Caenorhabditis elegans: one gene and its partner. The protein of the gene in region 1 interacts with the protein of each later gene in a biochemical or structural test. Each region holds a gene or a part of one and is shown on either strand. Other genes may lie near its edges.

Region 1 (11,567 bases):
TTGTTCATGTGCTATTCAAGGACTTCAAGTGAGTCTTTTCCTCTCTTATTTCTGAATTAATTCGAACATCTTTTCAGGTTCATATGCGAGATCGTTATGCGATGAGACACATTCTCAACTACGATAATGTCCGATGCGCGACACCATCGCTTGTGGAAGGTCATTCAGTTCTGGCAATTACCGACGTAAGATTCACATTCACGTTATTAATTTCACTATTTAAAAACTTCAGGTAAACGACTGTGCCGTTTTGTTTGGTGCACGGTATGGATTAACGCAAACAAGTGAAATGCTCATACTTCTCGCAGGAGTTCTCCTTTTTGCCGCACTACTTCTTATGATTCTTGGATGCATCTATTTCCTTCGTGAGCGACAGTACAAAGGATCATATGTGACACGAGAACACTCTCGAACTCCACTCACGATGGCAAACACACATAGTTGCTCTTCGAGTACAAATGATACACATGGTCCATTATCACCACCATTTGATCCATTCTTGGTTAGTACTGAAACATTTAAAGCCACTCCTCCATTGATTCCACCAGCACCTCCAAAACCTGGATCATCCTATTTTGGCATTTAAATATCCTTTTGAGAGTTTCAAATGTTTCAAAAATCTAAATCCGTGTGATTATTTGCATCCATCTAGTCGTTCGATCTCCCAGCCCCATTTTCATGTATTTTTGCCCCCTTTTTCGATACGGTGTTCAATTGTTTAACCCTTTGTCTGTAAATAAAATAAACTGCTCGTAGATATACCAAGTTCAATGAAATAGACAGGAGCCTTAATCAGCAGCATAATAGTAGTTTTCAAGAGGTAAGACACCTCTTCTCGGCCGTAAATCCGTCGGCAAAGAAGTAATAAATCGGCGAGGCTGTTGTCTTTACGCCCTGGTTCTCTGTGGGGGTCAACTCATTTGTCAAATGCACACCAAGACAAATGCATAATTGAGAAGGTTTCGAGAAGGAGAGTTGACTTTTTCGTTTAAAAAAACTCCGCGGGAAAATCTCCGTAGCCACAAAATTTTGACGTTTATGAATTGAAAATTGGTTGTTCGACAGGGACTCGTTAATTTATGAGTTTATGAGCCATTCGAATAATAAATTGATGTGCGTATGTATGTGCACACGCGCGCGAATTCGTGGATGTAGATTGCACAATCTGTTATGACACGTCGTCTCATCCGTTAGATTCCCAAGTGACACCCAAAACAATTGGAGTAAGCCAATGCCAATTAAGTTGGATAGATGACCACGAAGAACAAGACATAACTATGAAAAATGACGGATCGGTGTTCGTCGCACAAGTACACATGTAAACATCCGTCTCTTTCGATAATTACCACTATTCTATGCTTTTGAACAGTCAATAAAATTGTATACTTTCAGTTTGAGTATACAATTTTGTGATCGAATTTCTCTACGATTCAATAAACAAAAGCATCAATCTTCTGGAAGTCAACCAAAGCTTCTTGGATCAAAAAGAAGTAGTCTTGTTGAAACTACAAAAGCTAATTTCCAAGACTTGCCATCGTATGTTCGCGCGTGGTTTTAAATTAATTGACATCTTTCTTGTATAAATATTCTTTATATGGCAGCACATCTGCCTCATATTCAAAATTCCGGGGGAATTTGTTAATGAAGATTTAATATATCGACGACAAATTCAAAACCCAAAACCTTTGGTATAGATCCATTGTGGGTAGAAGCCTACTGTTGGTGTCCATAAACGGCGAATCACCTGTGTAAGGATCGTGAGCGTCGGTAAAAGTTTTCTATGAGCTAAAAAGACTACAATTTCAGGAAACCATGACGCAGGAAATTTTCAATCATACAAAAGCTTTCATCATTGACCATAGCTGTGTTTTCTTTGAAATTCTGATCCATCTTCCGACAAAAAATGAATTGACACCTTCTTTGTCCTCTCATTCAGTTTCTTTACTGCTTGATGAAATAAACTGTGCGGTGTCAAAAAACGAAGGTCATTAGTGTGTAGTAGTAATTCAGTCGTCTTCTTGTTAAATGTAGCAGATGAAAATTCGTACAAGTGTCACAAACGAAGAGTCTCTCTCTCTCTCTCTCTCTCTCTACAGAGTCGTAAATCTTTCCGGACGCCATGGACATGCAAGAGGGAGCCACCACTACGATTACCCAGATTATTATCATATGCGGAAGAAAGATTTGTCTACAATAGCCATTGCGTGTGCATTAGCGATCCCTTTCCCGGATATGTTCAATTACAAGGGATTGGAACATTAACTTCGACTCATTGACAGACAAAATATAGTACCCAATAGCAAGAATTGCTACAGTAATCTAAATCCCTAAAAACCTTACCAATCCCATTACAAAGTAGTTGAAGAAGAAATTTGGTGGTCCATAGAGTGTCTCCTTGTGAAGTCCACGATGAATTCTGGAAATTTTCAATATTCAGATGAAGCGGAAATTTTGATAAAGCTAGAAACTGTTAATGGTTAAATTTTAAAAACTTCAGTTTTCGAGAAATTTTAGGCGTTCCTGAATTTTTAAATATTTTTTTAATGAAATTTTCTGAAATCTTTTAACTTTTTTTTTCAAAATTTATCCTTTTTAAATATTAGTTGGAAAGTTGTTAAATAAATTTCAGGCATTTTGAAAAAAAAGAACTTTTTTCACAATTTTTTAATTTATTCATTGGATATTGCTGAATATCAACAAAATGCTATATGAATTATTTTTAATTGATATAAAACGCTTACATTGAAACCCTTCAACTTTTTTTAAGAAAATTTTTCTTCAAAAATTGTTTAAATTTTCAGTGGAAAATTCAACATCTATTGAAAATAAATCTAAATTTGTGAGAAAAGAATTTGAATTTTCAAGAGAACGAGAACGTACTTCATCTTGTCATCGGACTTGTAGAAGACCTTTGTCGGGGCTCCAAGAATCGATTGCACATCCTAAAATTTAAATTTTTAGAACAAATTTTTTTGATTGAGAAAACCAACCGAAACAGAGTCTCCAAAATAGATTTGTCGTGTGTACGTGGATACATCATACTCTCCATCGACAATTCTTCCGTCTGCAAATATTCACTTTTTTTAATAATTTCAAAAAATTCCAGTACTTTGAGTATCAAATTGAATATCAATTCCAACAATATTCCCATTTTCCCAAATTGCTTCGACTTTTCTCGTCCGATTTTGACCACAATAACACGAGAATGGAGTATCCACGGATCTTCAAATTTTGAGAAATAAATAGAAATAAATAATAAATTCTCACTCTGGCTCAGATGGATTTGGTCCACGATAAATGGACATCTTGGTAAGTTTTGGTTGAGAGTTGGCATCATATTTCAGCGAACGAAGATTTCCACCAAATCCAGGCTGAAATTGAAGAATGTTTGAAATTTCGGTTTTTGGGAGATATAAAAAACTTTTTGGAAATTAAAGGTGAAGTAGCGGCTGTAGGTTAGAAAAAACTCTTTTAATTTTTTACTATATTCGGTATCGTATTTTTGATTCGAAAAAACCCACAGACGGTACTCCAACTTTAATACCCAAAAAGATCAAACTACAGTACCCTGACTTCCAAATTCGAATTTTCTCCTCCATATGGGAAACAGAAAGATAATCCCGGCCAACTTTGCACATAGATATTGTGCTTATCATCATATGATCCTGGATGTGTCGATCCAAAAAATTCGTTGACCCGATCCAACGTCGCCATGTTATTTGGATCAGAGAAGATTGTATCGCTGAAAATTTTTATGAAGAAATTGTATGACTATCTTGGCAATTGAAATTGATTTTTTTTCTTTGATAGTTTCACAATGACCCGAAACGACCGAATTCAACAGAGAGAATTTTCAATTTTCAGATTTTATGCAAGGCTGAAATTTTTCGAATTTTCAAAACGCCATAATTTGTTTTAAATTCAATAGTTTTAAACGAGCTTCTGTAGTTTTTTTTTTTTGATGGTATCATACTTATAAGTAAGTGTAATCATTGAAAGATTATCCACTTCAATTAGCTTGATAAGCTGTGAAAGGCCATCAAAATAGAGACGAATTCCTGTAGAACCGATATAGATGATGATATCCTGGTAGAATGGATCCTGAATTTAATTTAACTTTATTTAAAAGTATAATTAGTTAATTTCTATACCTTTTTACTGTACTTCAATTCGACTTTTGTAAGCATTCTTGGATGTTGCTGAATCATTGCAATACATTGATTGATTGGCATACCAAGCACAAATTCGAATTGTGAACTTTTTAGACCAACATCTGGTACAACCTTGAATTTCTTTGGAAAATATTTATTATTGATTTTTTGACTTTAAAACAAACCGTGAAGCTCAGATCTTCTTCAGTTGATGGTTTCTTTGTGACTTGCTGTTTTCCATTCATTTTCGATGATTCAAAGCTGTAAAAGCTTTTATTTAATTTTTGAAGAGTTGGAGAAAAAACAAAGAAGAATTTTTAAACTATGATTCACAAGAAAAATATATATTAAAATTGAGAACTGATATTTACTTGGTATATTCTTTTCTAAATTTTTTTTCCGCCAATAGTACGGTACCCGGTCTGGGCGCGACGATTGTTTTCTGAAAACAAATGGGTCTGCGCCTTTAAGAAGTACTGTTATTTTAAACGTTCATTGCTACTGAATTTTTATCGACTTTTCATACTTTTTCCCACGATTTGTAAAAATTTTGTGTCGTTTTCTTTTATTATTTTTTTTAACAAATACATTTTTACCGAAAAACACTGAAAATCGATAAAAATTTTGCAGCAACGATAGTTTGATATTACAGTACTCTATAAAGGTACACGTCCGTTTTTATTTTACAAAAAAGGCGTATCGAGACCGGGGTATCGCCTTTTCCTCGCAAAATTTCACGTTTATGCAATATAATTTAAAAATATATTGGAATTAATGTGAAAAGCTGTTCAAAAGTTTTTTCTTCAGGTAAAATATGGAGCGTTTTCAAAAATTGTAATTTTGAAATATTTCAAAATAAGCAGAAATCAATGTGCTAATCGTTAACCAAATCAACTGGAGATATTAAAACCGTTCAAATAGTAAATAAAAAAGAAAAGAAACACATGACGTCGATGGCAGAATCGAAGGCTGTGACTGAGAGACTGCAGTAGAGCGCACTTTCCCGCCCAGCTGTTTCCGCGTGACGAAGACAGGCACAAATAAATAACGTTGCACTTTTTACACAGAAAATTAGGAACACTCTTTTTGAGATGTATGGGATCTACCGTTTCATTCATTTCTTAAATTCGCATAATGTTGGAATAGAACAGATTTAGAAAAGAAGAGAAACACGCATGGAAGAACCGCCGGATTCTTGAGTTTTGTCGGAAAAGAAAATTTTGGGGAGAAGAAAAAACGAAACAATGAAGAAAATAAGGATGTTGTGTTGAGAGGGGGGACATTCTGAATGGAAACTGGAAAGAAGAAATCAAAACAAAAATAAGGAAGAAAGTGGCTCAGAGACCATAATTATTGAATTGTCCTCCAGATTGTTGCCCGGCTGGAGTCGTGTTGTTTTGTGCTGCGGCAACGTTATTCGCCGTATTTCCGCCGCTGTTTCCCTCCTGTCCTCCATAAGCAACAGGATGAATTTTGAAACCGTAGAGTCTGAAAATTTTGATATTTAAAAATTTACACATAACATAATTATTATTGTACTAAGTTCTGCTAAATTTTTAAAGTGGATAAAATATTATTGTTTGATCTTCTAATTTCTAAAATTATTTCGAATCTAATTTAGTACAGCCAACTTATTTCGGCAATAGAGTAAATCTTCTAATTTCAGTCTACCAAGTCAACTTTTTGAATTAAAAATGATTTTAGAAATGTGTCAAAATATTTTATTGATTCGAAATTGCAACTTATTCTTGTTGAAATATTTGAAAAAAGATCTCAAATAGAGCCTGAAAGTTGCCGAATGCCGAAAAAATAACCTTCAGACACTAGTCGTTTTGAATTTTCCAACATTATTAAGTTGTGTTTTCGAATCAAGCAAATATTTTACTTCATTTTTTATTCAAAAAGTTTAATTGGTATACTGAAATGAAAAGATTTACTCGATTGCCGAGATTTTAAAGATTTTTTAAATTAGAATTTCGGATTTTCAAATATTTAGCTTAATATATATCCTCTGACATACTTTGGAACGAATTGAGTGACTGGTCTGCGTGGACGCAGATCAGGATGAACAAAGAAGAGCATATGTGGGAATCCGGTGCCAAAATAGCTTCCATCAGTATGTTGATGACGTGATGATCGTGGAACGAAAACATCATTGCAACGTGGACAGTACAATTTCACCATAGCCTCGCCAGGAACATCAGACAATCCTGGAAAAATTGGAATTTTACAGAAATTTTAGTGTAAAAACAAATATTTGTTTTAAATTTTATTGGAAATGCACTTTTAAATTAGGAAAATTTAGTACTTTATAGTTTCACTTTTCTCAAAAAAAATTATCCGCAACCAATGAAGTAGCGATTTTTTTATAACTCACCAATTGGAAGCATTGGCTGATTTTCACAGTAGACACGTGGGCAAACTCCAAAGTCATGATCACGCCACTTTTCGACCATCTGTGAGATTCCTCTATTCGTAAGAATATATCTAGCGTGAATGAGTCCATAAAGCATTTCAGCGGCTTGTTCAACAAGATCAGTGTTCGTTGCGTTATCCTCTATGTCATCTTCTAGAAAAAGGTTACATTGCGGGGGCACATGAAGTCAGCAAAAATATCACCTGGTTCTAAGTCAAGAATCATGTCAAGAGCCTGTCGATACTTGGGCACTTGCTCATTGAGACCTGTCAAATTGAACCGATCCTGAATATATTCCTCGTCGACTTCACAGAAAAACTCATTTCCACGAAGGCCACAGAACCATGTGATCCATGATACCTGAACAAAAAAAAAGATTCGAAACTAAAAATAAATTTCACCAATCGACCATAAAACTTGTTATTAAATTCATAGTTTAAAATATAAATCATTAAAAAAAACGGCTATTTAGATTTTTCTGATTGTTTTCCGCAGAAAATAGAAATATAATACAAACCTCCTCCGAACTACTCATGACTTCTGATCCAGACAAACTAGCGCTTTGTTCTGACTGCGAACCAGACTCTGCCTGTAATCAAAAGAAATTTTTTTTTGATAATATTTTAATGATAACTCACCGAAGTGGAATCGAGTTGGCGCCAGCGAGCAGAAGCCGTGGCGTTCACGTCGATGACTGGCCGAGTTGCGCGCAAAGCACACAACTGCCTGAAATTATGGGTACAGGTTGGGTGAAATGGTTCAGAATTATTGAAAAAAGCAGAAGAAAATCAATAGATCACAGTCATGTGCGCCCACATAAATTCATAAACTCCAGCAGTTTTCTGTCGAAACAGAAAAAAGAGGACGAGGGAGCTGACGAGGCCTTGTGGACGTGCAATGGGGCACGGTTGCATAGCACATAGGTCACTATCGATCTCTGGGGAAAACTCGAAAAGAAGGTAGGTTGGCCTCGAAATTCAACGAGTTTGTGTGGAAAACCAAGTAATAGTAAAAAAATTAAGAGATGTGATCCTTATTCACATACAAAAAATTAAATTTTCTGAGATCCCAGAACAAAAAAGAACATCGGCAAATGTAAATAAAATAAAATTAATTCATAAATTATTCAAGAGCACGCAATTCCTTTCGCAATCGAGTCTGTCAACTTGAGCATTACCATCTTTTTGAGCACTTTCACCTGTAACAATTTATAATTATATGATCATAAAAATGTCTATAAAACTTACCTTTTTCATATAATTATCATTCAAATCTCGATGTTTATCAAGCGTAAACGTTGACAAAAAGGTTGAGAGCTCATAGAGAATCTCCTTGGAAAATCGGATTCCAGCACGCCCATCCTCTTTGATAATCGTGATTAAATAATCGAAGAGATCATAGTAATACTGAGTTGGAACATCAGGCATCATAATAAGCGGTATCAGATGTTGAACACAGTCCAGTACATCACCACAGTGCATCATCTTCACAAATCGTTGATAAGAGTAGAGGAAGGTAAGAGATGGAAGTGAGAGTACAGAATGATTGGTTATTGAAGATAAAACTCTTAATGCAGCCAATTCATCCTTCGAACTTGAACCAACAATTCGAGATACTGTCCAGTCAATTGTCTTTTTGGATCCAGTTTTCAACGCCCAAGCGAGTGTTGAACTCCAATGTCCTTGCTTCAGATACCGGAAAGTCATTGTATTTGTCACACAACTTTTCGCGTCTTCCAGTCGATGCTCTTCACATATTTCCAGCAACTGCTCAGCCATCTCATCATCCTCAATGTGAAGCCCTTCGATGTGTGTTTCGAGACGTAGAAGTCCTTCGGTACCACACGCAATAAGATATCCGGCTCCGATTTCCCACAGACTATAAAAAATTTGTGAAGTTATATTTTAAAATGTTTTTTCAGTAATTAGAAATTTCAAAAACTAACGGAGAATGAGAGATAAGAACACTGGCGTAGTCCAACATGTGCATTTTCCTCATCACTTCAAACTCGGGATCCAATGTGGATTTGTGAATAAGATCAACCAGGTGAACTGCGAGCCAGGGATTCGAGGCAATCAACTGAAATTTTATTCAGTAAAATTAATTAATTCTTATTTAAAACAATCTAGAATTTATTTTGAAGAAAATTGTTAAATATTCTTGAACATTATTTTGATTTTTTTTTATTGGGATAAAATTGAATGAAATGTTCTGTCGCCGTTTAATTAATCGTGAAAGAAATAGTGAGCCTATTTTCAAGAGATATTTATATTTAATTTAATTTCTTGAATAAAAACAAGAACCTGTTGAAAGTTAATATCATCCTTCGAAATAAGACACCAGAATACATCATTTTCCTTTGCACCCTCCTCTTCCTCTTCTCCAACGAATAGTGTTCTACACTCATCAGCTAGCTCAATGAGCTCGACATGTCCGGCGAATGGATTCTTGACAAGCACAAAGAATGGCAGAAAATGCCACCACGTGTCGAAAATCCGTGAAGCCATAGATACGAGGTATCGTTCCTCACCGAGTAGGAGCTTCGTAAGATATTTGAAATTTTCGTTGCTCCCGTACTTCCCACTTGTCAAATTTTCACGCATGATATCCTTCCATTCATTTACTGTGTTAGCCTGAAATAAGAATATTACGAAGTTTAAGAATTATTATATAAATGGGTCTTACTAATGCTTCGTCGACTAAGTTTTCGGGATTGAAGAATGTGAGAGCCTCAATGAATGCATCACATTCTGATCCGCCTCCATGTAGCTCCAACAGTTCAACACAATCGCTGAAATTGCAACTAAGCAAGCTGACTGCTACTCCCTTCCAATATTCTTCTGGAATCGTCTTCCCCGGATGCAGATATTCCACAGCTGATTCCATGGCTCCTCTAGAAAACGTGAAGCTCTGATTGGCCCATGAAATAAGATCCGCACATATCGAGCTATCACCTCTTCCAAACCATAATTTCTCGTAAAGTGACCACAAAGCAAAGTCTGTCATGAAGTCGGAACTGCTGTGAGACACGGCGGCATTGTAGAGAACTGAACGATAAGCTCGAGAGAATGTGCAGCAAGTAGGCGTGTCTAGAGGTGCATCAGGTGAGGAGCCTTTTTGACATTTATCAAATACAGAATACATTTCGATAACAAGTCGTCTGAGATTTGGTGTCGCAAGAATTTGTCGATTTTGTGAAACTTTCTCGACCAAGACTGTTTCTGAAAAATCTCTTATGTTGGAAACTGAAGAAGATGCAATTTTTACCTTTATTTGAAAATCCTTTTTTATCTGTTAGGAAGGCGAAGACCGTGGAGGAGTCGCTGACAGCTATCCCGAATTCTCGAGCGACATCCGTCATCTGAAAGAGATACTAATGTCATGTGAAGTGGTATTAAAAATATAGTAAGCACGGTAGAAACATTAACTTATAAAATTGAGATTTCTGATAAATAAAATTTTTCCGGGAGTTCTGTAAAACTTCTTACGGTTTTAACTTGATAATTCCATAGGGTTTAAAATTTCCTTTTGTTTCTTGAGTTTCTTCTCGGAATTTGAACAAAAATAACGCGTTTAATCTCGAATCAGTACAATGATGGACTACACGGCAGTTTTAAAAAACCAATTAATAATAATAATCCTAAAAAATGAGAAGAATATTTAAGAAAATGTAAAAGTTTTCCGCGGAATTCCGCTAAAATTCGAAAATTGAAAGTGTTCAAATTGCAAGCGATTGTGCATTCAGACGTGACAGTGTCTGGGGTGTATTGCGTACTCGACATTTTAACTGACGACACTTGTACTTTTGCGCCATACTTCCGGAGCTCCAGCTCCGCGGAGCCCTGAGCAATTATTTTTTTACTTTTTATGAAAAGCTTTCTATAGATATCTTTTAAGAAGTTACACTATAATTGTGCAAATCAAACTGGCTCCGGACAACACAAATTTCGTCTATACCTTTATGATCTTTTTTTGTTAAACAAGTGAAACAATTATTTCCTTTTCAAACTGCTCTTGTTTCTTCTCTTTATTAATCAATTTTTTTTTTTTTGCTTTGTGTAAATTAATTGTTTGTCGCGGATGAGCTAATTCTGAGGTTTGACCAGCAGAAATCTGTTTTCTGAAAAATCAATAACTCGCCGCTTAATTTTGGTTTTATTCAAGTGATATGCAATTAGAAGGTTCTAATCATTTATATCTCGCTGAAAGATCTCAGATTTCAAGCCTTTTGCTAAGGATTTAATTCCTAAAACTTTTTTTGACCTATCATTTTTTGTGTGATCTACCGCTGTAAATACTTGTTGTTTTGCGGCTAAACTCTTTCAATGTTTCCAACAAGTGAGCCAATATCAAGTAAAAAAAGAAAAATCGTTTTCTATTCAACCATTTTATTCTGTAAATAATATTAAATTCATCTTCACGGTACAATCTTCTTCTCCCATCTAATAAAGTCCACGCACACTCCGTTCCGTCGTTTCCCTATTCGTTATCATTCATCATCTTGCCATTTTCTTCTCCGCCAAATCCCATTGTCTTATACTAAATTTCATCCTCTCGTCTGTAGAAGTGTATATTATTGAAAAATTAAAGTATATTTTCAGGATGAATGGGGATGTGCAGTCAGTCATTCGCGGATATCTGGAGCGAGCCCAAGTCGCGAAAACAATGTCCGATGCCGGACGATGGAATGAGGCTGGTGATCTTCTTCGTCAGCTCATGACAGATGTCAAAAGCTGTAAAATTTCGGCAAGCAACAGAGACGAGCATGACGCAAGAAATGTACGTAATATAAATCTTTTAAAAGCTTGTTGAATTATTTGAAATTTCAGACATTCCTACGAGCCCTAGAGGCTAATTTGAAGCTTGTCCAACAAAATGTGCGCGATGAAGATGACCTACACGAGGCGATGACGCGACAAAGTGGAAGTCCAGAGCCACCTGCAGACCCAGATGTTTGGTCCAAACCATCGCCACCGTTACCATCCTCATCGAAATTTGGA
Region 2 (12,046 bases), on another chromosome or scaffold:
TTGATATTAACAACTCATCAGCAAAAGTCTTACAGTTCCCGAAACGGTGACAAGTGTTTGTTCCTTAATCAATGATTGCAAATCATCTTTGGTGTACGAAGCCGTCGGTGAAAGAGTAGATATTGAGACAGTTTGAGATAAAGCAGAGACAGCTGGAATTCCAATGTCCTGCGGAGACAGCACCATTCGCATTGAATAACTTCCCGCGTTTGAGAACACAAGTGGAGAAGTAGTTTGATTGAATAAAGCAAGGTTGACGTCTGAAATTTTTAGCGTCATAACCAGACCACTCCCATTGCATACTTACTCTCAATAACTATCGGCATCTGAATCAACTTCTTAACCGTGCTCGCTGAGGATCCATCTGATGCCACAACCGTGAAGCTGTCAGCATTGTATGAGAAAATGGCATTATCTGTGTCTACTTCAACAAACTTTCCTGTTCCATTCGTGCAAGTTATTGTGTAAGTAACTCCACCATATGATGCAGTTACTACTAGTCCTCTAGATACAATATTTTGAGTAGAATGCAGTTTTATCATTGTTCCAGATTCAATCTGAATAAAAATTGAAAAATTTCATGTGCTCTACGATTTATAAATTTACCAATAATATGTATTGAACTTCTGAGACTGGGATATTGAACGAAAATGAAGTGTTCTTCTGACTTGTGGATCCTACTGTTGAATTGTCATAAGTGACATTCCAAGCAGTTACATACATATCATTATAACTATATTCCCCTGATTGAACATCTCCAACTCCACTCATTGTAGCCATTATATTTCCAGAAACCAGTGATCGTTTGTCATCTATTTTATCCTGCTCAACTTGCACAGTCCTTCCATTTGTTGCGAACATTCCTTGGATTCCGATGGCAGCTGCTAGCATAGTGTCCGCCTGAACAGTTTCACATAAACTACAATGTTCTATATTCAAAAAGTCTTACAGTAACGGTATCTCCATCAAGCTGTTTATAAGATGCCCGGGTATCTCCTGTAAGGTATATTGTAGATCCGTAAATGCTGAGCTGTAAGTTGAAAACAATTAACTCTCCCAACCATCATTTTCTTACCGTACACCTAGGCGATACCAATGTATATCCCGATGCAATAACATATCCAAAAATAACCGCGTAAGTTCCATCTTTTGATTTTGTACTTGATACTCCCAAGGTATAGACTGTACTTCCTTTGAGAGCAAGATCGAGAGAAGACAGTACGGAGTTCAAGGATTGTGCGGAAGTCATATTGACATTTGCTAGTTTAGTGATAACTTTTGCCATTTCGTCGGCCAATTCCGAATTTGTTGTTGCAATATTGTCTTGCAATGTTTTCAAAACATCAACACTTGACATATTTCCGACTCCAGGGATTTTGAGGGTATTTGAGAGCAAACTTTGAGCAACTTCCACTAGATCTGCGGCAGGTAGAGATGAGATTTGATTGAGAAGAGAGCTGCTTGTGTTTAGAGAGTTGTTGGATGCAGATCCATCCATTATCCCAGCCAGTTGGTTCATTACATCAGCTTTTTGAGCATCTATGATCGCTTGTTCAGCTGCAGAAATTGGAGAAACTGTTGCAAGAGAGCTGCGAGTTTTAGTAGTTCTTGTAGATGGTTGCGCGGTAGCAGAGAATGCACCATTTGCACCAGAGGAATCGGAAGATCCAGACGTATCGGAGCCAGATGAGCTCTTGGTTGAAACACCAGAAGATCCATTTGAATCTGATCCTGAGCCAGATGTACTACCACCGTCTCCTAAATGGGATCCTGGTGTGGTAGCTGTTCCAGATCCTGTACCATCTCCATTCAATGCCGTTGTTTTTCCAGAGTTTACCCCGTCCGAACCCGTCCCTGAAGACCCCCCTGACCCACTTCCAGAAGCGGTCGTTCCTGATCCACCAGCCCCCGATCCCGTTGATGATTGTCCACTTCCAGATCCAGAAGTGGTTGATCTGACTGCATCACCCGTGCTAAGAGTTGTCGCAGATCCTCCTGAACCTGTTCCACCAGTTCCCCCAGTAGCTCCAGTTCCACCGGTTTTGCCACCGGCATCATCCGACGAGCTGACAGTGGTTGGTGGGGTTTCTAAAAATTGAATTTTATGAAAAAAAAACAGTAATGCGCTTACCAGTAGTTGTAGTTGGAAGAACTACATTCATAGTAAAGATGTGACTGGCAGATTCTCCAGATGCACGATTGGTAACATTAATTAAGAATTCATAAGTTCCAGTTGCAGGTACAAAGCTGGTCATTGGGTTGAAAGATACGGAGGCACTATATGCACCATTTTTTCCAACTGTAATATAGTACATAAATGAAAATTGATAACGTTGCTAACTAGGGAGTGCTCTTTGTACTCCATGGAAATATGAGTCGGAAAACTACTTTTCGGGTAGTTTATGTCATTTTCTACACGATTCTGAAAGAAAATCCTGCCGGTTTTGGGTTTTAGTGTGAAAAGTTTGCGTTTGAAAATACCACCCTAAATTCAGTTGATTTAACACTACGCGACCCATATTTCATGTGCAACGGGAAAGCCAAGTACACTGAAAACTCACTTTCAAATTTTCAAAGCAAAGTCATAATTTCGGTGGTCCAGTGGATAACGGCGGGAGCGGCGCCAGTTTTCAGTGTACTTGGCTTTCCCGTTGCACATGAAATATGGGTCGCGTAGTGTTAAATCAACTGAATTTAGGGTGGTATTTTCAAACGCAAACTTTTCACACTAAAACCCAAAACCGGCAGGATTTTCTTTCAGAATCGTGTAGAAAATGATATCAACTACCGGAAAAGTAGTTTTCCGACTCATATTTCCATGGAGTACAAAAAGCACTCCCTAGTAGGCAAAATCTCACACTCTGTCAAGCAATTGCTTTCCTTCAGTAAAACAAATGGCTGAGAAGAATCGTTTCGACATTGACAGGTCATAGCAGTCTTAAAATATTAAGGTTTTTTTTAAGTAAGATTGATTTGAATATCTTACCGTTAAAGCTCCGGGCTCTTTGTTTGGAATTGGTGTAATATAAAATGGATTTTCAGAGTAATACACTGTCTCGTTCCATGTCAAATTTTCCAATACAAAGTCGTAAGGGGTTTCTGTACTTGCGTCTGGATCCACAGTTGTTGTTCTCATGCTATCAGATGCACTTGATGAATCGGATGGTGTTTGAGATAAACCAGATGAATCTGAAGTGGATGGAGTTGAGTTAGATGAGTCTATGGTGGTGGAATCTGAAGTTGTGCCAGAATCCGATGTTGATGTAGAACTGTCTTGTGAAGCATCAGTCGTGCTAGCTTCCAAAGTCGACGTAGATTCAATTCCTGAAGTTGTGGAAATGGCTGAACTTTCGGAAGAAGATCCAGTTGAAGTTGTACTGGTAACTTCGGATGTACTTGTTGAATCCGCAACAACATTCAATGTGAAAATGTGGCTGACCACTTGCATTGTCGTCAAATCCGTCATGTTGATTCGAAACTCATAGGTGCCAATGCCAACAAGAAATGTTTCAATTGGTTGAATTGGAATATTAGAAGAATAAGTTGCGTTTAGGACCGTGTTTGCTGGAAATTCGCTTTAATTCAATAATTTCAAAAAGTTTGTTAATCCTACAGTAGTTTAAGCAAGTGGATTCCTTAATTATAAGAAAAGGCTCAGTAGACACATTTCTGCATTCAAATGTTTGGCTTCTCTAAAATCATTCGTTTCATTTGGCTCAACGATTTATTAAACCCGCCTCAGTAGGAGTAATGGCATTAGTTGGTAAAGGTACAATGTTGATGCTGTCTTCATTGTGACGTGTCTCGTTCCATGACAATCCACTGTCCAAGATGAAATCGAACTGATCGACTGACAAAGTGGAAGTTGAATCAGCAGTGGTAGAACTCGGACTGGAAGAAGTTGTGGATGTGTCCGAGATGGTAGTTGTACTGGAATCAGTAGTACTTTCTTCGGAAGTTGTTGTGGATTCTTGTAAAGTAGTTGTGCTCCCAGCCGACGTTGTCGTAGAATCGCTTGAACGTGTGGATGACGGCTCTGTGACTGTGGATGTTGATAATGTGGAAGATGGAGTTGATGGTGTAGATGACGTAGAGCTTGCTACAGCAGATGTAGAAGATTCCGACTCTATGGTGGTGGAAGAATATTCCTGAATATAAACGTTCGCATACGTGTAGTAAACTTTTTTATCGTCGGTTGTCATAGTTGCTCTGAAGGTGTAGTTTCCAGGACCAACGAATGTGCTAGCAGGGTACGTCCCTCCGAGACGTGGCATTGATACACTTTCTGAATATATTGAAAAAATATGTGTAAAAAATCTAAATAACTATCGCCCGAAAAAGGTTTGCTTTTTTTCCGATTTGAAGTTTTTATAGAAACGTTTTCAGAATTAAAGATTTTGCCTGTCTCTAATTTATAATAAGTCTTTATAAACAATTACTCGTGAAACATGCTCCGTCTTTAGTGGTTGAAACATAATTAGAAGATGTAGGGCTTGTACATTCGATGGATGTTTGATACTGAAATACAGTGTTACATTTGAATAATGCAGTCTTCAATATTGTACTTACTCCAATGATTCCGAGGCCGGAATTAAGCGTTAGGTTCACACTTGTGGAATCATAGAACGTTGTAGTTGCCTTTTCTACAAAATAGAAGTCTGGATTAGTTCCGTCCGAGCTAGTAGTTGTCTCAGATTTTGTTGTTGTTGAACTTTGCTGAGTAGACGTGGATGATTGAGTAGAAGAAGCGGTGCTTGACACAGACGAAGAAGCCGTTGAACTTGGAGTGGAAGAAGAACTCGATGGCCCAGTAGTTGATGTTGAAGGAGCAGTTGTGCTGGTTGTTACTGTAGACGAAGGAGATGTCGATGTGGACTCAGTGCTTGTTGGGGTCGTTACAGTAGTCGAGGAGCTTGAACTAGATGTCACCGTAGAAGTCACAGGGGATGTTGACGGGGAAGTAGTTACAGTACTCGTCGATGGTTCGGTTGTTGACGTTGAAGCAGTCGAGGTGGTCAAAGTAGTGGTTGGTTCAGTTGTTGTAACAGTAGAAGATGTAGATGTAACTTCTGTTGTGGTTGTGGAAGTAGATGGTTCTTCGGTAGTAGTGGATGTCAACATAGTGGTGGTGAAAGTGGTAGACGTAGTGGTCTCGTCAAGGTAGGAGCAAATCGCATTATCCGGGAGAGACGACAAAGTTGCTGAAAATTTTCGTTAAGGATTTTCTGGATAACTAACAATGCACAACAAGGTGATCGGTAATAGTGACTGCTTTGTTTTACCCTGAGCAAACTGTAATTGTATAAAATCTGAAATATTGGCAATACAAACGGGTTTGAAGAAAATTATTAACAATTTTATTCCTGCCTCTCAATCATAACAGCAAATTCTGGTTTGCTTGTAATTATTATTGTGCGTCCGAAACTCACATGTGATTTCGGGTGTTGTAGTGGTTGGAATACTTGTACTCAGTGTGGTGGAGCTCGGCGAGCTTGTGATTGTGCTAGAACTCTGCTGAGTTGTGCTAGTTGATGATGTCGACGTGGATGCTGTGGAAGTGAACGTTGTTGACGTGGATTCGATGGTGGTGGATGTTGATGGAGTTGATGTGCTTGTGCTCATTGCGGTAGTCACCGTACTTGTACTTGTTGGGACGGTTGTTGTAGATGTCACGGTACTAGTCACGGTTGTGGTAGTTGGAGTTGTAGTCGAGGTTGAAGTTGACTCAATAGTGTAGTCGCAAGTATTATCACCCTGGAATAAAATGAAAGTAAACACTATCTGAGAAATCGTACTCACAGCGTCTCGTTTCATTCTTCTCAAAGTAGGTGATCCAGAAGTCCTCATGCTAAACTGTTTTGCCCTGACACCCTTAAGTACCTGCCCATCATAATACACTCCTTGACTATCACTGATAGCTGTGCTCTTTTCAGAACGATCTGAAATACTGTTTAGCCAATGTTCATGAGCAATTAAGAACTGACAAGGTCGCTTGCACATTCTTCTCGCATACTCTTCGTTGATCTCTCCGCTCTCACACTTCTCTCGGTAGCCCAGCAACGCCATCTCGTTTCCACCGACTTGGAGCCACCATAGGGAGCCATCACATCTGTCGATACCGTCATCTGAGAAAGAGTTTCTATTAAAATGTTAGAAACACATAGCACTACATATGCAAATAACGTTTCACCAGATTCAGAATGCGCAATTCATGCCTATCTCATAGCCTACCTATGTGTCTACCTGAGTATCTACTTGAGTACCTTGCAAAGAAGATTAATCGGCACAAACCAAGTCAAGACTTTGTTGGCATAGGTCTTCCAGGTGAGTAACGCCGACATTATACATAGGTACGCACAAAACCTTCCCCAAATAATAATCCTTACCATAACAAACTTCATATTTCGCCTCCACAGCAATACTGATCTCATCGTCATCATTCACTTCATTCAAAGTAATCCAAGTTGAGTTCAAAAAGAGTCCGACAAGCCTGGTCTCTGTTTGGATGCAGTTGTGAATCTGAATAGGAACAACAAGGTTTTACAACTAAAAAAATACACGACTAACCAATTCCAAACTTGAAACTTCCGTAACCTTGTTCTCAACTGAAAGTCTATTCAATCCGCAGCTCAATTTGATTTTAACGACTCCTTGTGAATTCCTTGGAACTCCTCCAATTGTTGTGTCATCGTTGTCTAATCGAAAAGTTGCGATCCCGTCAAGAAGTTGGTAATGCAATCCATCAATTTGTATCTTAAAAGTAGTTTTATTCAGCTTTTCCTTCTGAGATTTTTCACTCACCGCCGATATTGCCAGTAGCAATAGAACAAAGAAGTTTGACTTCTTCATCCAATGAGCTGGAAGGTTATCTTGTAGAAGTTTTGTAAAAATTCGCCTGAAAACAAAAATGAATTCAGAGCAGAAAAGACAACAACTGAAAAATGAAGTTGTCGAAAAGCGAAAAGGCGGGCTGAATCGAAGGACCATCGCTGGGATACGTTAACGGCCCACAATTTCCATGGAAATTTTGAAGTTTTTGAAAAACTGACGAGGATTTAGAAATTGGGAAAGAAAGCTGTATTGTAAAGAAATTTATTAATGAAATTTGAATAATAAATTGAAATAAAAATTTTTGAATAAAAAAATTCTTCCAAACCAAACACCCAATTTTTTAAACTTTACAAATTTACTTATTAATGTCTGGATAAAAATATAACCACACAAAATCGGTACTCACCGTTCAAAATTTGACTGAAATTCCAGTTTTAGTTTAGCTCCCAATTAATATATTTTTCAATTTCCAAAAAAATTATTTTCTTCCAAACCAAACACCCAATTTTTTTTAAAACTACAGATTTATTAATTGATAGCTGAATATTATAAACATAAAAAATCGACACTCGCTGTTCAAAATTTTTACTGAAAATCCAGTTTCAGTGTAGCTCCCAATTAATATTACTATTTCAAAACGAAACTTTGGCACAATGATGAGAACAGTGGGATTTTTTTCAACTTTGCACAATTCAGATAGAAATAACAATAATTTCGTCTGACAATTTTACAGTATTCGATTGTTTCCCATTTCCTTGTTAGTTCAAAGTCTATAGATTGTGATTATGAATGACTCAATGAAATGTTCAAATCAAGTTGGTATCCGATAATTGTGTGTTTGATGAACGGAATATGCCGATAAAGAGATAATAAAATACAAAAAATATCTCTCTATCTCGTCACTTTATGTTCTCCTCCCTTATTCTTTTTCGTGATGTTAAGATATTTTTAGACAGTATTACGCATTACACCCCTCTATCATTTGTCTTTTTCTTTTTCTCCTCTTTTATCACTTATTCTTCGAATTCTCTCACACAATTTGACATTTGACAAGTCTCGACATTCTGAAAATGAGTCGAATCTCTCGCATTTCTATATTATTTATTTCTACTTTTGCTAGTCTTGTTGGCTTTTCAATACCATTTTCCGATTTTCGACTACCAGAAAATACAGTTGTGTGCAGTATTTTACAGGATGTAAGTTTATCCCAATTCAAAAAATTCCTTTTGTCAAAAAAAACAAAATTATTAAAACTAGACATTATACAGTGTGAGAAAGTTCTATAGGACCCCCCTCATTTTTGACGTTTCACCTATATTGAAAATTTTTTTTGAAAAATTTTTTCCGTAGATTGATTCAAAATGTCAAAATATGTGGACACAAAAATTTTCAGACTTGTACCTCTAAAACTGGCTGCGTACGGAAAAAAGTTGGAAAATCAGGTGTGCAACTTCTATAGGACCCCCTCATATTTTTGACGATTTCACCGGAAAAAAATAGTTTTTGAAGTTAATATCACGTAAATAGTTATGAAAATGAGAATAAACACAGTTTCAAGCAATTTCATATTGGCACTTGGTGGTTGACCCACAACTGTCCTCTAACAGTCCTGTAACAGAAGTTTCCACGTGTCATCTGCCCTATCACTACCAAACTTTACAAAATGATACATGACACTGTTCTAACAACATCCCTAAGTTTTTGGAAAAATCCGAAAAGTTTGAGCCCCGCTGCACCGCTGAAACCGTACATGGGCCTCATTTTTCAGGCCGTTTCTCCGTTTCAGTGTGTATAACTCGGGTCACGGTGAACCCCCGACTTTGAAAACTGTTCAATAAACTCGTATGAACATTACGCTAGCATCCACAAAAAAATGGTCACGATTTCGTGGTTGCAATGTTCTAAAAATTTACTTTTACCCTGAGTCTATGAAATTATGCATAATAACATCATTATTAGTACAGAAAACTTGCTCTATTGACAATTTTATTCTGGTTCAACTCAGAGGCTGGTAAATCCTTATTGCTAATCACAGATACACTCACAATGATTGTGAGAGTTCATTGAACAATTTTCAATGTCGGGGGTTCACCGGGACCCGAGTTATACACACTGAAACGGAGAAACGGCCTGAAAAATGAGGCCCATGTACGGTTTCAGCGGTGCAGCGGGGCTCAAACTTTTCGGATTTTTCCAAAAACTTAGGGATGTTGTTAGAACAGTGTCATGTATCATTTTGTAAAGTTTGGTAGTGATAGGGCAGATGACACGTGGAAACTTCTGTTACAGGACTGTTAGAGGACAGTTGTGGGTCAACCACCAAGTGCCAATATGAAATTGCTTGAAACTGTGTTTATTCTCATTTTCATAACTATTTACGTGATATTAACTTCAAAAACTATTTTTTTCCGGTGAAATCGTCAAAAATATGAGGGGGTCCTATAGAAGTTGCACACCTGATTTTCCAACTTTTTTCCGTACGCAGCCAGTTTTAGAGGTACAAGTCTGAAAATTTTTGTGTCCACATATTTTGACATTTTGAATCAATCTACGGAAAAAATTTTTCAAAAAAAATTTTCAATATAGGTGAAACGTCAAAAATGAGGGGGGTCCTATAGAACTTTCTCACACTGTATAAGTGAATCTTTGTAAGAAAGCTCTGAATTTAATACAAATAAATGCGCATATTTTAGACTAAATGTGAATGGAAGCAAAACTGGAAGAATGCAGAGGGTGTGAGAAGAGAGCTCGACGCAGGAAAACCACCAATTCAGTTATTCTACTTTTGTAAGGAGAATCGCACTGAAACCTGTGGAATTTGGTTAGACGAGGTACTTTACACACACGCAATGGAGGCTAACATAATTTTTTGTCATAAACTTTGAATGATTTTGAAGTCAAACACTTTGGATCTTAAATTAATTGTTGTCCATTTCCAGAATGAGAAACCAATCGAGGATGCTCCAACAACTGACCGATTATCTGGCGAAGCTTTCATAATCGAAAAAATGGGTCTTCATGTTCTTGGAGACTATATGAAATTTCCTGAGGAAAAGGGAGATAAAAAGCTGATAATTGAATAACTTTTGTTGTCTTTTGAATATTCTCATCATTTGTATGTATATAAATAGCCTATTTCAATTCCATTCTCTTTTTTTGACTGTGGTGGTCAATGAAATGACCGACCGTAATAAAATGCTTTTTGTTGCCTTGAAGTTTGATGTTCGATTGAAAAAACGATAAAATTGGATGGAATTGGGTCTATGGGAGGTATGTGTGGAGAATAAGGAAGTCGGACATTAAACATGTATAAAATTAGAATTTTATAAGAAATTCAAACATTTTGAAAAAAAGTTTTCTACAAGGAAATAACTCGGGGAATTTTTCGAATTTTTATGGCATTTTCCAGAACTTTTTTGTAGCGTTTCTTCCTGATCAAAAGTTGATTTTTCGTTGATTATCTATTTTTCTGATTCATAGTAAAAATATGCAAAGTTATGTTTTGGCATGGTTTTGATAATTGATAATTGATAACATAGCCAGTCTGAAACCGGGTCCAAAATATTTCAGATCAGTTCCAGCGCCCTCATCGGTTCACTATCCGTACGTTCTCGTAATAACCAACAAGTAGTAGGATCTCCAATGACAGTTGTAATATTTGTTTGAGGTCGTTGTGTAAAACAGTCACATCTTCAAAGATCGTTTGATTTTCGATTGAGAAAATACATGACTGAAGGGGGAAGATAAATGACATCTTGCAAGAGGACAAAAAAGATCATGATATGATAAAACAGTTGATAATGACTTGTAAACTGAAAGTGTTGGGACATTGTGTACCTTGTGAGGCATGTATGTACTTCCTAGTTTAGTTTTAGAATCAGAACACAGAGAAGAATCAAAAATATTTTCTCTTAATTTTGTAAATATTCTTACTGAACAAATCCGTTAAAAACAAATTTAAAAATAAAAATTATTTGGCGTTTACTTTGGCAGTAGGCGTAGGCACAATGAATGCTGAGGCGCAACCATTTTTGTGCCTACATAGACGCCTTAATCCAAACTATTCTCAAAAAACAAAAATATAAATCAACTAAGTATTCCACTGTCTACTCAATTCTTGAAAATGAAATTCGGTTTGTGTTCGAATTGGAGCAGTTGACATCTCGAAGCCTCCGATTTCATTCAAATTCGATGGCCGCACCGCATAACTGTTCCATCCAATAAACTTTCGCAGAAATCGAAATAGATTTGGATGACATATAAATGCACATATTGGGAAGCTTATTGTATAGATTGCAGTTATAATGTCAAATAGTTGAGCGGCTTCACCTCCTAAAATTTGAACATATTTATTTTGAAATTTTTTCAAACTAACAAACCCCTGCCAAACCACTTGACAACTTCTTCAAACCTTGCCGGCTCTTTTGTCATCACCGACACCCAATACCCTCCATAAATCAAAACTGAAACTGAAAGCGTTGAAAAAATAAGCATTAAGGCAAGTAATGGGAATAATAAGTGTGTTGAGCGAATATTTTCTGTTATCTGATATCTTTCACTAAGGTTCACAGTATTGAACCAAATATCTCTAGTATTGTATTTTTTGATATTTTTATTGTATACTATCGTGATTCCCTGAAAGTTCAAAAGACTGAATTTTTAGTAAATTGATTATAAATACCCCAACACTTGCAATAAATCCTATCACAATAATGAAGATCGTTATCATAAACATAGTTGGCGTTAAATATTCGATTTGGCACGGAAGATGTGGGTACAGTAAGAAATGTTCCATGCGGTTGGCACGATCCAGAAAGTTTCCAAGTATCATGAACATTGGAATGAACCACTGAAATTTGTAAGTACTTGTAAAATACACTATCACCTTCCTTTATACCTGTAAAAACGCAAAAATACAGGGAAAAATGTGAATTTTGGTCTTCTCGTAATCCTTAGACCAAATCGTACCAGCGGTTCTTTCGAGCATAATGAATACGAATGAAAGGCAAACCGAGTCAGCCGATGAATGATGCACCGCATTAGCAATGAAGCACCACGCATGACCTGGAAAATATGTTTTGATAATCTAAAGAATGAATCTCACTTGAAATATCCACGTCACGAAGGTGGGCAATGCAAAGTGGGACTGCAATCATTGCACGGCCCACTGCCATTAAGATGAAACCAAGGCAGCAGTTGCAAATTAGTATTCGGA

What was found.
Region 2: the proteins of kin-10 (region 1) and lov-1 form a complex in vitro, tested with the Caenorhabditis elegans proteins (one study listed by BioGRID).

What each region holds. Positions count from the first base shown.
Region 1 is NC_003279.8:8,283,713-8,295,279, forward strand, and holds kin-10 (Casein kinase II subunit beta), read right to left. Parts: upstream 7,294-11,567; 5' UTR 7,206-7,293; intron 7,157-7,205; 5' UTR 7,103-7,156; coding exon 7,085-7,102; intron 6,928-7,084; coding exon 6,771-6,927; intron 6,721-6,770; coding exon 6,529-6,720; intron 6,362-6,528; coding exon 6,172-6,361; intron 5,640-6,171; coding exon 5,489-5,639; 3' UTR 5,249-5,488; downstream 1-5,248. Other genes in the region: phaf-1 (PHAF1 protein T01G9.2), read right to left, coding at 2,341-2,416, 2,881-2,942, 2,991-3,064, 3,110-3,222, 3,268-3,371, 3,568-3,742, 3,974-4,101, 4,152-4,292 and 1 more; dma-1 (LRRCT domain-containing protein), read left to right, coding at 1-28, 78-185, 233-586; npp-2 (Nuclear pore complex protein Nup85), read right to left, coding at 7,694-7,765, 7,815-8,445, 8,513-8,646, 8,871-9,200, 9,253-9,788, 9,835-9,928; Meiotic spindle formation protein mei-1, read left to right, coding at 11,170-11,346, 11,397-11,567. UniProt on the Caenorhabditis elegans protein: Participates in Wnt signaling. Plays a complex role in regulating the basal catalytic activity of the alpha subunit.
Region 2 is NC_003280.10:10,114,977-10,127,022, forward strand, and holds the start of lov-1 (Location of vulva defective 1), read right to left. Parts: upstream 6,850-12,046; coding exon 6,802-6,849; intron 6,754-6,801; coding exon 6,568-6,753; intron 6,520-6,567; coding exon 6,387-6,519; intron 6,126-6,386; coding exon 5,985-6,125; intron 5,940-5,984; coding exon 5,800-5,939; intron 5,755-5,799; coding exon 5,430-5,754; intron 5,202-5,429; coding exon 4,570-5,201; intron 4,519-4,569; coding exon 4,440-4,518; intron 4,286-4,439; coding exon 3,738-4,285; intron 3,693-3,737; coding exon 3,614-3,692; intron 3,565-3,613; coding exon 2,987-3,564; intron 2,938-2,986; coding exon 2,859-2,937; intron 2,300-2,858; coding exon 2,132-2,299; intron 2,089-2,131; coding exon 1,076-2,088; intron 1,031-1,075; coding exon 950-1,030; intron 901-949; coding exon 607-900; intron 558-606; coding exon 308-557; intron 261-307; coding exon 34-260; intron 1-33. Other genes in the region: F27E5.7 (DUF2147 domain-containing protein), read left to right, coding at 7,902-8,027, 9,525-9,662, 9,771-9,914; putative G-protein coupled receptor F27E5.8, read right to left, coding at 10,922-11,163, 11,211-11,466, 11,513-11,680, 11,729-11,895, 11,936-12,046. UniProt on the Caenorhabditis elegans protein: Required for two aspects of male mating behavior: response to hermaphrodite contact and vulva location. Acts in the same pathway as pkd-2 and atp-2 in response behavior. May be required for ciliary targeting of pkd-2.